Nothobranchius furzeri: one gene and its partner. Each later gene encodes a partner of the first gene's protein in a complex. Links are inferred from orthologs where the notes say so. Each region holds a gene or a part of one and is shown on either strand. Other genes may lie near its edges.

The links.
Region 2: eif2b2 (region 1) and eif2b3 share a complex: the UniProt entries of both Homo sapiens proteins name them as parts of the translation initiation factor 2B (eIF2B) complex. The link is inferred for Nothobranchius furzeri from reciprocal best matches to the Homo sapiens genes EIF2B2 and EIF2B3.

What each region holds. Positions count from the first base shown.
Region 1 is NC_091742.1:2,322,707-2,328,997, forward strand, and holds the start of eif2b2 (translation initiation factor eIF2B subunit beta), read left to right. Parts: upstream 1-2,676; 5' UTR 2,677-2,779; coding exon 2,780-2,951; intron 2,952-3,354; coding exon 3,355-3,475; intron 3,476-3,570; coding exon 3,571-3,722; intron 3,723-3,819; coding exon 3,820-3,983; intron 3,984-4,067; coding exon 4,068-4,163; intron 4,164-4,237; coding exon 4,238-4,375; intron 4,376-4,462; coding exon 4,463-4,529; intron 4,530-4,617; coding exon 4,618-4,775; 3' UTR 4,776-4,780; exon of another isoform or gene 4,781-4,806; intron 4,807-6,291. Other genes in the region: tmed10 (transmembrane emp24 domain-containing protein 10), read left to right, coding at 528-654, 791-912. UniProt on the Homo sapiens protein: Acts as a component of the translation initiation factor 2B (eIF2B) complex, which catalyzes the exchange of GDP for GTP on eukaryotic initiation factor 2 (eIF2) gamma subunit.
Region 2 is NC_091751.1:54,333,834-54,339,940, forward strand, and holds the start of eif2b3 (translation initiation factor eIF2B subunit gamma), read left to right. Parts: upstream 1-2,688; 5' UTR 2,689-2,983; intron 2,984-4,142; 5' UTR 4,143-4,147; coding exon 4,148-4,295; intron 4,296-6,107. UniProt on the Homo sapiens protein: Acts as a component of the translation initiation factor 2B (eIF2B) complex, which catalyzes the exchange of GDP for GTP on the eukaryotic initiation factor 2 (eIF2) complex gamma subunit.

The DNA of each region.
Region 1 (6,291 bases):
CAAACACAGGAACATTCTTGGAATGTTTTCACCTCCTTCCTTTCTGTCAAAGAGCCGTTGGTCTTCTCGGTGTATTTTCAAAATTTCTTTCTTTCCTTTTTTTTTTTTTTTTTTTTTTTACAATATTTGTTTGGATTTTTTGATAATTTTCACTGCTAGTGAAGTATATCTCTGTCTGGTTTGTCAGTTTAAAACATTTAATGTGAAGGAATAAAAGAGTATCATCTGCAAAAGTCAACATTAACTGTATAACATTGACATAAGTGCCTAAACTGAAACATGCAAACCTTCAGAATTCTTGGTTAATCAAGATTAATGTTGAAAATTAGAGAAAAAAGTGTTAAAAGAGAAGAAACAAGGAATCATTGGGGCTTCTAGAGACCTTATATCAGGCATCTCCGGTTCAGCTGTGAGGTTCACACACTTCTATTTACAGTTTCAGAGCGACACCTACTGGACAAGTTGTTAACCAACACCACTGATAAAGCTAGTCAGTGTTTTCATTCGTCTCCGTTTTGACCCTTCAGATTGCAAAAGTGGAAAAACTGAAGCCTCTGGAGGTTGAGCTGAGGCGGCTGGAGGACCTGTCAGAATCCATCGTGAATGACTTTGCTTACATGAAGAAGAGGGAAGAGGAGATGCGGGACACCAACGGTAAGGCAACCACCGAACCATCAGGTCATCGATGTCACATAAATATATATATCTTAGTGTTTTGGGAAAGAGTCCTAATAAAAAAGAAAAACTTCAATAATAAAACGTGGTTAACTCCTGTATCTCACCACTACAGAGTCCACAAACACACGCGTGTTGTACTTCAGTATATTCTCCATGTGCTGTCTCATCGGACTGGCCACATGGCAGGTCTTCTACTTGCGGCGCTTCTTCAAGGCAAAGAAGCTGATCGAGTAGAGCGGTTCACCTGGCTCCGTTCCCCGAGGAACCCTGCCCGCCAGTCGGCAACCCCATCCCAGCATCCACCCTTCTTGGACTAGCGTCAACAAGCAACAGCAAGTGGGGCTGAGGGGCTCAAAATCTGGTTTTCAAGGTTGAGAGAAAAGGGTTTTCCTCCGGGGGAACATCTGCTTGTTACGTAGCTGTCAACAAGAAAAGCTCTGCAAGGAGAAATGAAGTGAGATGATGGTTGTTTCTTTCTGCACCGTTTTTACTGTTGCAGCTTCCTGAACAAGATTCCTTCATCAGTTGAATCGTGTTTTATTTTGAGCTCACTTTGAATGGATACACCATGAGTGAATGTTTCTGCCCTTCTGTTGAAATGCATTCTTTGCCATGTCATGCAAACTAGATCATCTGTCCTTTTGTCGACCAGGGCTCATTGAAAACATGGTTTGTTGTTACTTTCAGAAATTGGCAACCACTGAAACTTTGTGTCGTGTCACTCAGTAGCTATATTTAACTGTGTCTTTAGTTTTTCATATTGTAACTGCCACTTAGTTGCTTCTACTGGAAGGGTTTGAATTTTCACATTAATATTCCTTTATTGTAAATTTGGTCACTTCCTTGATCTCTTGCATGTTCGAGTTTTGTTTTTGGAACCTCCATCATCCAAGAACCAAAAATCCTCTTCTTGCACCGACATGGTTTGTATGACGCATTCATGCAAGTTTCTCATCAGAATGCAGGTTGGTAGTTGTGACAAAAAATTAGAAGTTATTCAGACATTTGCCCCTTTTTTGCTTTACACCTGATTATATTGTTTCCAATAACAGTCCTTGCAGATCCATCCAGTGTTGGTTTTATTTTTGTTTTTTCGTTGGAAGTGTTTGAATCTTGGGTCACGTCAATGTGGGTGTTTGCAGGTTTTCATATTGGTTTTGACAGGAAGTAATGGCTGTCCTGGTACATTTTTAACAATGGAACATGCGCATTCAGCGCAGTCAGTGATTTTTATGTTGACTGATAAATTTTGTAAATTTGTGTTGGGCTTTTATTCAATAAAAATATTGGATGGATTTACATGAGTTAAGTTTGTAAAGGTGTTTCCCTGTTCAAAGAATGTTCAGAATTTTTTTTTTTTTTTTGCCAGTCCTATAATAAAAATTACAGTGATCCAAACAGGTATTCTGTTGCATGGAGATAATAAAATACAAGGAAAACTGAATTTGTAACCAAGAAATTATGATCTATGTAAAACTTATGCAAGAATAACAAAATTACTAAAAAATCAAAAATTTGCCCAGATTAAAACTAGGTCATGTGTTTGATGGTAGGAAACTTCACCTACCTAAGTTTTGAGCAAATAACACGTGCATAATATTTTCACAAATTTGTATTGAATTAACATATTTTTTATTATGCCCTGTCTGCTTTTTTCTAATTGATTACTTCATTAATTTTTTTTATTAGTAAAATAAAATAGCACAAAAAATAACTTTTCGTTAGTTGTTGAAGGACAGACATTTTTTAAAATTCAAAATCAAATGGGAAAGGCCCCGAACTCCTTTCTTACCCATGCTGCCGCCTTTGGCCAAGTCTCCTTTGAAAAATGGACTTTAATCCTAAATAAAGGTTGAATAAACATTAAAGCTAAATAAAAAAATCAAGTATTTTTAGGATGAGATGCCTAGTTTATTTACGTTTTAAAGATATCGCTTAAAAGGTGATGAAGATAGACGCAGTAATCAGTCAACCAATCAGAGAGAAGAACACCCGCGTCCCCCGGATGTAATTCAGAAGAAATTCCGGTTCCCGATTTTTATGGTAGAAATTCGCCTATATCTGTTTTCTGCCGGTTAGTTCTGTAGTTTTTACTTGAACTATGCCGGGCCCGTACAAAGAAACGGACCTGACGGAGAGGGTCGAAGCTTTCCTGTCGGACCTGAAGCGGGGAGGCAGCGGAACCGGACCTCTGAGAGGTTCGGCTGAAACGGCCAGAGAAACGACGGCGCTACTCCGCAAAATTACCGCCCAGGCTCGGTGGAGCAGCGCAGGTGCTTCATTTGTCCCCTTTCTTCAGTTTAAAGTTAACCTTAACATCACAGTAGATCCACAAGCTGCTATAGGATCTACAAGTGGAGAGAAACACCGCGAAATATGTTAGCTGTTAAAACCCACGCTCCAGGAACAGGATATTAGCCTATTAGCATAACGGTGCGCCTAGTTTAGTACAGATGCTATGTAAGTACAAGACGTACATAGGATTAAATGTGGAGCAGTGTCCATATACATGTAAAAATGAATGGGAATGCAGACAGATGAATAGAAACGAACAATAACAACTTAATTTAAAGTTGCTTCAGTCAAACCTCATAATTATCCGTCTGTGTGCCCCTGTTGGCTCTCACCATTGTTGTGATCTGATCCTGTTTGATATTTTCACGTTTTCTGTCTTAGGTGATCTCATGGAGATCATCCGTAAAGAGGGCAGGAGAATGACCGCTGCTCAGCCTTCAGAGACCACCGTTGGTAACATGGTCAGAAGGGTGCTGAAGATCATCAGAGAGGAATACGCCAGGTGAGGACGCACCAGGGTGTAATCGGAATAAAAACATAAAACAGACAAAACTAATTCCTGCTTCCAAAAGGACACAATGTTAATTCTCTCCTTAGATCTCGAGGTAGCAGTGAAGAAGCAGACCAACAGGAGTCGCTCCACAAGCTCTTGACCTCTGGAGGACTCAGCGAGGAGAACTTCAGGCATCATTTTGCTCCTCTTAAAGCTAACGTCATCGAGGCCATCAACGAGTTGCTGACGGAGCTGGGTGAGTTGTTCTTATTAAGCTTATTTAGTTTTCAAGCAGAATAAATCCACAATTTTAAGGAGATTTCTTTAATTCTGGGCTTCCTTCACTCTTTCAGAGGGAACGACTGACAACATTGCGATGCAGGCACTGGAACACATTCACTCCAACGAGGTCATCATGACAATCGGGCGCTCTCGCACCGTAGAGGCCTTCCTCAAAGACGCTGCGCGGAAACGCAAGTTCCATGTCATCGTAGCAGAGTGTGCACCCTTCTGCCAGGTAGCACGGACAAATGAGGTCTAAGTAAGTTAAACTCTTTGTTGTTTAAAATAATTTTTTAAAACTTTATTTATCTTCTAATAGGGACATGAAATGGCCACCAGCCTATCAAAAGCGGGCATAGAAACAACCGTGATTGCAGATGCGGCCATATTTGCGGTCATGTCTCGAGTTAATAAGGTATTTTTCCACATCTGATGATTAAGGGTATCGTCAGGGCATGCAGGTTAACTTGTGTGATGATGTGTCTGCAGGTCATCATCGGTACTCAGACAGTCCTAGCAAATGGTGGTTTGAGGGCCGTCAATGGAACACATACACTTGCCCTCGCGGCCAAACATCACTCAACACCTCTCATCGTTTGTGCTCCGATGTTCAAGCTCTCACCTCAGGTCCGATAAACACCCGCATCCATCAGACCTTTGCTCTTTCTCTTAATAACAAACAATTTCAACTTTTATATTTTATTTATTTTGCAGTTTCCAAATGAGGAAGACACCTTCCATAAATTTGTTTCCCCACACGAAGTCCTCCCTTTCACCGAAGGTAAGTCGTTACCACAACCTCCTTTTGAGCCTTCAGGTGAAAAGTTGCATCCATTGAAAGAAATCAGTTTTATCTTTTTGTTTTTCAGGTGAGATCCTCTCTAAAGTCAACGTACACTGTCCAGTGTTCGACTACGTTCCTCCTGAGCTCATCACTCTCTTCATCTCCAACATTGGAGGACATGCACCCTCATACATTTATCGACTAATGAGTGAGCTTTACCACCCGGAGGACCACGAGCTTTAATCGCTGTAATAAATAAGTTATTAACTATTGACGTTGAGTTTTGTTTACTTTGAGAGAAAGAGAGCCCAGTGGCAGGAAGGCAGTTTTCTCCTCTTTTATTTAGTTCCACACAAACCTTCCACTTCAGCACAAAACAGAGGTAAACACATCGACTAAAGATACTAAAACCACGTGATAATCCACATCTGGACTCCATCTTTGATGAATAAATGGTAATCAAACACCTCTCCCATTAGCAGTTACACAATCACTTTTTTTCTGTAAAAACAAGTTTTCATTTATGAAAAAGTTTTAAGGGAAACGTGCCTTAGTGGTGGGAAAACTTCCCCTTTCTGATCCAGTCTAGCGGTTGAGGTTATTATGGAACTAACGCTAAAATATTTGGCTACGCTGTAATTTTGCCACCATTTGACAATTTCAAGCCACTAATAGACATTAAACAAATAGTTTTATAGATTTTATTGTAGCTGCAGCGATGTAGGACATTTAAAGGGTACAAATAAAAATACATAAATACTAAAATTTGCATTAAAATATACACTCACTGGCCACTTTATTGGATACACCTGTCCAATTGCTCGTTAATGCTAATTACTAATCAGCCAATCACAGGGTGGCAACTTAATGCATTTAGGCGTGTTGGCATGGTCAAGATGATCGGCTGAAGTTCAAACTGAGCTTCAGAATGAGGGATGAAAGGTAAGTGAAGTGACTTTGAACGTGGTCTGGTTGTTAGTGCCAGACGGGCTGGTCTGAGTATTTCAGAACCTGCTGATCTTCTGGGATTGTGACACACCACCATCTCTAGAGTTTACAGAGAATGGTCTGAAAAAGGGAAAACATCCAGTGTGCAGCAGTTCTGTGGGTGAAAATGCCTTGTTGGTGCCAGAGGTCAGAGGAGAATGGCCAGACTGGTTCCAGTTGATAGAAAGACAACAGTAACTCAAATAACCAATTGTTACAGTCAAGGTGTGCAGAAGAGCATCGACACGTCGAACCTTGAGGTAGATGAGTTACAGCAGCAGAAGACCACACCGGGTGCCACTCCTGTCAGCTAAGATCATGAAACTGAGGCTGCAATTCATACAGGCTTACCAAAACTGGACAATAGAAGACTGGAAGAATGTTGTGTGCTGCAACATTCAGATGGTAGGGTCAGAATTTGGCGTCAACAACATGAAAGCATGGATCCATCCTGCCTTGCCTCAACGGTTCAGGCTGCTGGTGGTGGTGGTGTAATGGTGTGGGGGACATTTTCTTGGCACACTTTGGGTCCCTTAGTACTAACTGATCATCGTTGCAACGCCTCAGCCTACCTGAGTATTGTTGCTGACCATGTCCATCCCTTTGCGACCACAGTGTACCCATCTTCTAACGGTTACTTCCAGCAGAATAATTTACCATGTCATAAAGCTGGAATCATCTCAGACTGGTTTTTCTAACAAGACAGTGAATTCACTGTACTCCACAGTCACCAGATCTCAGTCCAATAGAGCACCTTTGGGATGCGGTAGGA
Region 2 (6,107 bases), on another chromosome or scaffold:
AGTCACCTTGGCCCATCTGCCTCAATAGTATTTGTGTATTTGGTTTGGCCATTTGTGATTGACAGGTGAATCTTATGATCATGTTTATTTATTCGGCAGATGCTTTTATCAAAAGCGACATACATTTTTAACCTATAGGGCATGATGTGTTCTGTCGGGGAAACCGGAGTACCCGGAGGAAACCGAAGCATGAGGAGAACGTGCAACTCCACGCAGAAAGGTCGCAAGAATCTTAGCATTTGCACAACTGGTCGCCCCAATCTGCAATAGGGTTTACGGACCCCTGATTTGAGCCTTCCTGACTTTTTAGCCACCTGAATCACTTCTGGGTTGCAGCACTGTCTTTATTCTCTGTTGCAAGTGTTGCATGACCTGGCAAGGATAACGGTCAACAGAACAATCACAATATTGTGAACAATAAAACAATATTGTGTCAGGAGAAAGGTCACTCTATTCAGTCCTTTGTCTCCTGTGTTAATGAGGTGAAGTCTTGGCTAATGTCCAACTATCTACATCTGAATGAGGGAAAGACAGAGCTCATTGTTTTTCACCCCAACAGCAGGAATGTGGATCGTTATGCTGATCTTGGCCCTCTTTCTCCATACCCAAAACCAGTTGTTACCAGTTTGGGGGTGAAACTTGATGTAGGACTTAAATTTGATGCTCACATCAATTCTGTGATCCGGTCCAGTTTCTTTCACCTGAGACGCCTTGCTAAAATCAAGCCTATGCTGTCGAGAGCCCACCTGGAGCGGGTACTGCATGCCTTTGTTATTTCTCGGCTTGACTACTGCAACTCTCTCTATGCAGGGTTGTGTCAGTCAACACTGCATCGCCTACAGGTTGTGCAGAACAGCGCTGCCAGGTTCCTGACTGGGACCAGGAAACGGGACCACATCAGTCCGGTTCTGGCCTCTCTGCACTGGCTTCCGATTTGCTATCGCTCACAATTCAAAATCCTCGTCTTTGTTTATCATTTCTTCCAGGGTGGTGGTCCCCCCTATCTGGCCACTCTCCTGAACAAACATTCCCCATCACGTGCTCTGCGCTCCTCTGACCAAGGCCTGCTCGCTGTCCCTCGGTCTATGTGTCGTACCCGTGGGGACCGGGCTTTTTCAGTCCTAGCACCGTCACTCTGGAACCAGTTGCCACCCTCAGTTAGGCTGTCCCCTTCTCTGCCAGTCTTTAAGAATCACCTAAAAACACACCTCCTCCGCTTGGCGTTTCCAGAACATGTTTGATTTTGGCCCTCTTTTATGTTGAATCCATTCCACAGTTTTCATTGGTACACTCAATCCATCCACTCAATCCAAATGTGTTTCACACATTTGTCCTTCACCAGAATGTTTCATCTATCTTGTAATTTCCATTTTGTATTTTGTAATTTGTATTTTGTAATTTGAATTTCTTTTATTGTTGATTTATTCAATATATTTACATACAACTGTACATTGTTCAGCGCTTTGGGCTTCCTGACAGGGTTGCGGAAGGCGCTTTATAAATAAAGCTTTGATTGATTGATTGATTGATTGAACAATCCAGACATGACATTAAAAAAGACAAAGGTTTTAATTGTATGTGTCTACATTCATAACTATGAAGGTACACAGTAACGAACACACTGTGAAGCTCACAGTAATCAACTGGCAGCAATTAACAAGTAAGTTATTGTTAAAAAGGATTACAGTGCTGATGCTGAGTTTGTGATTTCCTACAGTTCACAGTACATTTTTGTGAGATTTCAAACTATTGTAAATTATTGTATTATTATTTAAAATAAAAAAATTAAAATGTGCACTTTTTTCCGTTTTCCTTTATAAAAACTGACTTTTATCATACAGCTTAATCTGTGATAGCTATACATTTTCCCCAATGCACTGATTCTACTGCCCTCACTTAACCCAATAATACTAAAGCCTACTGCATACTCTGCAAACAAGATGCAAAAAGATAAATCAGTTCACCTACACAATTAGCCAACAGGCTTTTGCCAAATTCGGCGTACTGGATTCAGTGTGCACTCTTCGTTCTATGGTGTTGCTCACTCAAGCTACGGTACTTTGTCTTTTTTTCCTCACTTGTTGCTTGCCTGGTTTTGAGCAAGCAGTAATGAGCAGTCAAGCTCATCTCCTGGCCAGAACAAACAAAACCAAAGCCACATTCCCCGAGCTCAATTTTCTGTTACGTCTCAGCTCTGTGGATTGAGAGTTTTCAGGCCTGAAGTTTGGAGGCTGTGTGACTTCTGGCTGCTAATATACTCACACTATTTTGGTGTCTGTGTGAAAGTAAATTCATTAAACATGCTTAAAAGTAACATGCATTCATATAATGTTTTAAACCAAAAATTTAAAGGGTGGGGGTATCATTGAATAGAAATAAGGAAAATATTGCAATTAACAATCTTTGAATACTTATTATCACCGGTGTTGATAAATAAAGAGATCTGTATTTTCACACTTTCTTCAGATCATTACAAAGTTAGATTATATCTTAGCTCTTATTCAGAAAAAATGTTTTTAAATTTTCTCATAAATGAAATCTGTGCATGTGCTTTCCGTTTTTTTGAATAACTACACATTCATATTATTAGACAGACAGCCATAATGCTTTCATGTAATAACATTCACGTCAGCGGTAATACCCGGTATATTCTGTAGGAACAAATGTCGAGGAATCAGTTTCCTCACGGGCACATTTTACTGAACACTCCCAATGTCATCATACTATTGCTAGCTGTTAGCTTGGCTTACGCTGTTCTTGTACAGTGTTTCAGCAAGCTTTTTGATTTTTTTCACCAACGCTTATCATATGATAAGTTTTGCTTCCAAAAGAGCTGTCTAGCTGAGTTTGACTTTGAGCATTAATTTGAGTAGCGGCATCGTTTACGTCTGTGTACCGATAGTTAGCCAGGTGCTAACTACTCATCACAACTTGCATGCGTCTGTTTCTTCTGTCATCGAAAGGCAACTGGATTTAAGGATAGGTATGCAAATGTTAACCATTCTCGAGTTCAGGCATTTTACTCGAGTTGAAGTCACTGGCATTTATTTAATTGAACCGCATGTTGTGATGCTCTTGCCCTGTTCAACCTTATGTGAGACGATAACTTTTCCTTTCAGTGAGCTTTTTCAGTCACCGGCACGTCTCATCTTGTCCCACAGTTCTTATTGCTGCATTTCAAGCTGCGCTAATCAAGCAAGGTCATGAATCTAATCTAAACGTTAAATTCTGTTAAACTATAGGAATGTGTTTTTAGTAAAAAATAAGAAAACGTTTACTACTTTTGTCAATATATGTATTGATTCATATTTCTGTACATTTACAAATAATTACAGATTATCTTTCATATCGCGTTTAACCTCTCATTAAGGTATTAAACGTTTGCAATCTAATGTTTTAAACCTAAACATAATTAGCACACAATTAGGCAGAATTTCAAACAAAATCAACACATGCATATAATCAGTCTTTACTCATTTCAATAGATCTTTTAAACTGATTTCAAATTAGCTTCACAGCTTTGAGTAAGGAAAATAAATCTACAATATATATATATATCCAACAGATGAAAGATGCCTCATGCCTACCTTCTTAAATTTCTAAAGATGTCCAGCAGTGTCATGTGCTCAAAGTTGTACAAACCTTTTAAATACCTGTGTGACCTAGGTACACATATCTACTCTCTTAATTAGTCTAACAAGAAATGCTCTTAACATGTTATTATACAGACAAACCCATACAGCTTATCAAAAATATAAGAACTTAGGTGCAGCCAAGTAGGTGCTCTGATTAAGGCAACAGTTACTAGATTATCTCAGAAGATTATGCCAAAAACCTGCAGTGTGGACACTTGATTGTCTGCAGGCAACCGGGAAGAAAGTTCTTGCAAGTTTGGTGCTGCATTTCTGCAACAAGATGACAATCTGATACAGCTAGTGAGCATCACAGAGCACTTGACCTTAACAGGATTGTGTCAAAAGTTTAGTTAAAGCAGCAAATAAGTGTACCTAGAAGAACATACGCTGATGTGAGGGCATCATGCATTGATTTGATTTCCAGTAGCTGTTCATTAATGTTAGTTTTGGCAGTTCATTTGATAAAAACTGTTATTATTTTCTTTTAAAGTCTGTTTCTCTCTCCAGACATCATGGAGCTTCAGGCGGTGTTGATGGCAGCTGGGGGAGGTTCTCGTATGACTGACCTAACATACAACACACCTAAACCTATGCTGCCTGTTGGCAACAAACCACTTATGTGGTATCCCTTGAACCTGCTGGAGAGAGTCGGCTTTGAAGGTGAGAACTCAAGCGTTAATTATAATAATTAACATTTTTATACCCTACATAAGCTACAACAAACCCACCTTCGACATGATTAAAAGTCAAATCCAGCAGTATAAGCATAAACACATGTGGGCCATCTAACGTTTAAACTGTATGGACTTGTATGTCGAGTTACGCTGTAATTTACCTTCTAACATCCTCTCAACAATCAGATCTCATGGCGGGAGGGCTCCGTGTAAGCTTTGTGCCCTCCATCCATGTCTCAGTGGCAGGATTTGGAAGAGTTATGGGGAGCACATTCTTGGTTTCCACATAAAATGTAAAGAGGCACAATACAGCTTGTAGGTTTATGTGACTCACTTGAGAAATCCGGAACTTAAAATAGAAAATAAAAATAAAAACTTGACATAAGGACTTGGACAGCATCTTTTATGTATTTGTCTACGCATAATTTTGTGCTTTAGCCTTATTTTCACAGATAAATACATAGACACACAGTTTAAGTCACAAGTAAGGATTAAAACAAATATAATGGTCCTTTGGTATGTGCTTGCTGTGTTGCTTTTCTAACTGCATTGTTGGTTATTTTTTAAAACACAGAAAAGGTTTATTTTTTACCTTTCTGCTCACAGTTTTATTCGCGGTTGCAAACTTCCTCAGAGCGGACGCGTCAGCAGCAAGGTAAAAAAAATAAACCTTTTCTGTGTTTTAAAAAAGAACCAACAATGTAAATATAATGCTATTCACCAGTTTCTTAACTTTAATGAGACAATGTAGTTTTTACCTTTAATCTCTGGAAATATCCATCAAAATGTTGTTGAAAATGAATAAAAGGATGTCCAGTTGTTGAAAAACATTAGCAGCTTCGTTACAAATAACCAAAAACATCAAGACTAAAGTACATGGCGTATTTGGGGGGTGCCATATTAGACGCCATGTTTCCTTTTGACCGTCTTGGGGTCTTGTGCCTGTTGATGACATCACACTAGATAATTGGCTGGACATGGTAGTATGAAACAGATTTAATAACAAAACTGCTAAACTCTTTCCCAGACATATGTGAAAGAGCAGAATTGAAAAGAGATGCAATATATTTTGGCTAAGCGATATTGCCATAGTGGGATGACATCATTGGCAGGCGTAGGACCCAGAGCAGATCCGGAAAGTGCAGCGCAAGAAAACTAGAGTCGGCATTGCATTCTCTCGATGGAATTACCTGAAGGACCCTCAAAGTCTGAGGTTGCATGCCTTCTGCTCCTCAGATAATGTTTACTGTAATGTTTATTTTTTATTTATTTATTTATTTTTACCAGCGGCAGTCATGGCGAAATGGTGTAAAACTACTCTGAAATGTATGCACTACCCTAGTGCCAGGAAACTACACACTGCCACTCAAGATCCTGGTTCTGGGTTTAGGGCCTTGCATGGACAAACACCCAATCTTACATTAATGATCTTCTTAGTCCCTACACCCCCAGCAGGTCCCTGAGGTCCGGTGACCAAAGCCTAATGGTTGTGCAGCACCAGGTAAAACAGGCTAAAGGTGACAGATCATTTGCTGCTGTGGCCCCCAGACTCTGGAAACTCTACCCCCCTGAGCCTGAGATCAGTGGACCTAGTGGTCTCCTTCAAAGAGCAGCTCAAAACTCACCTGTTCAAGCTGGCTTTTACGTGACCTTCATCACCACCCTCTCCTTGTTCTGCCTGCAATCCCGCCTTTCCTGGGATCCACTGATTTCCCTCTTTCATAATCATTTTCTCATTCCCTTTCCTTGCATTTTTAATCACAGCTCCTCATTTTTGTCTTCTTCTTTTTCTTCTAAT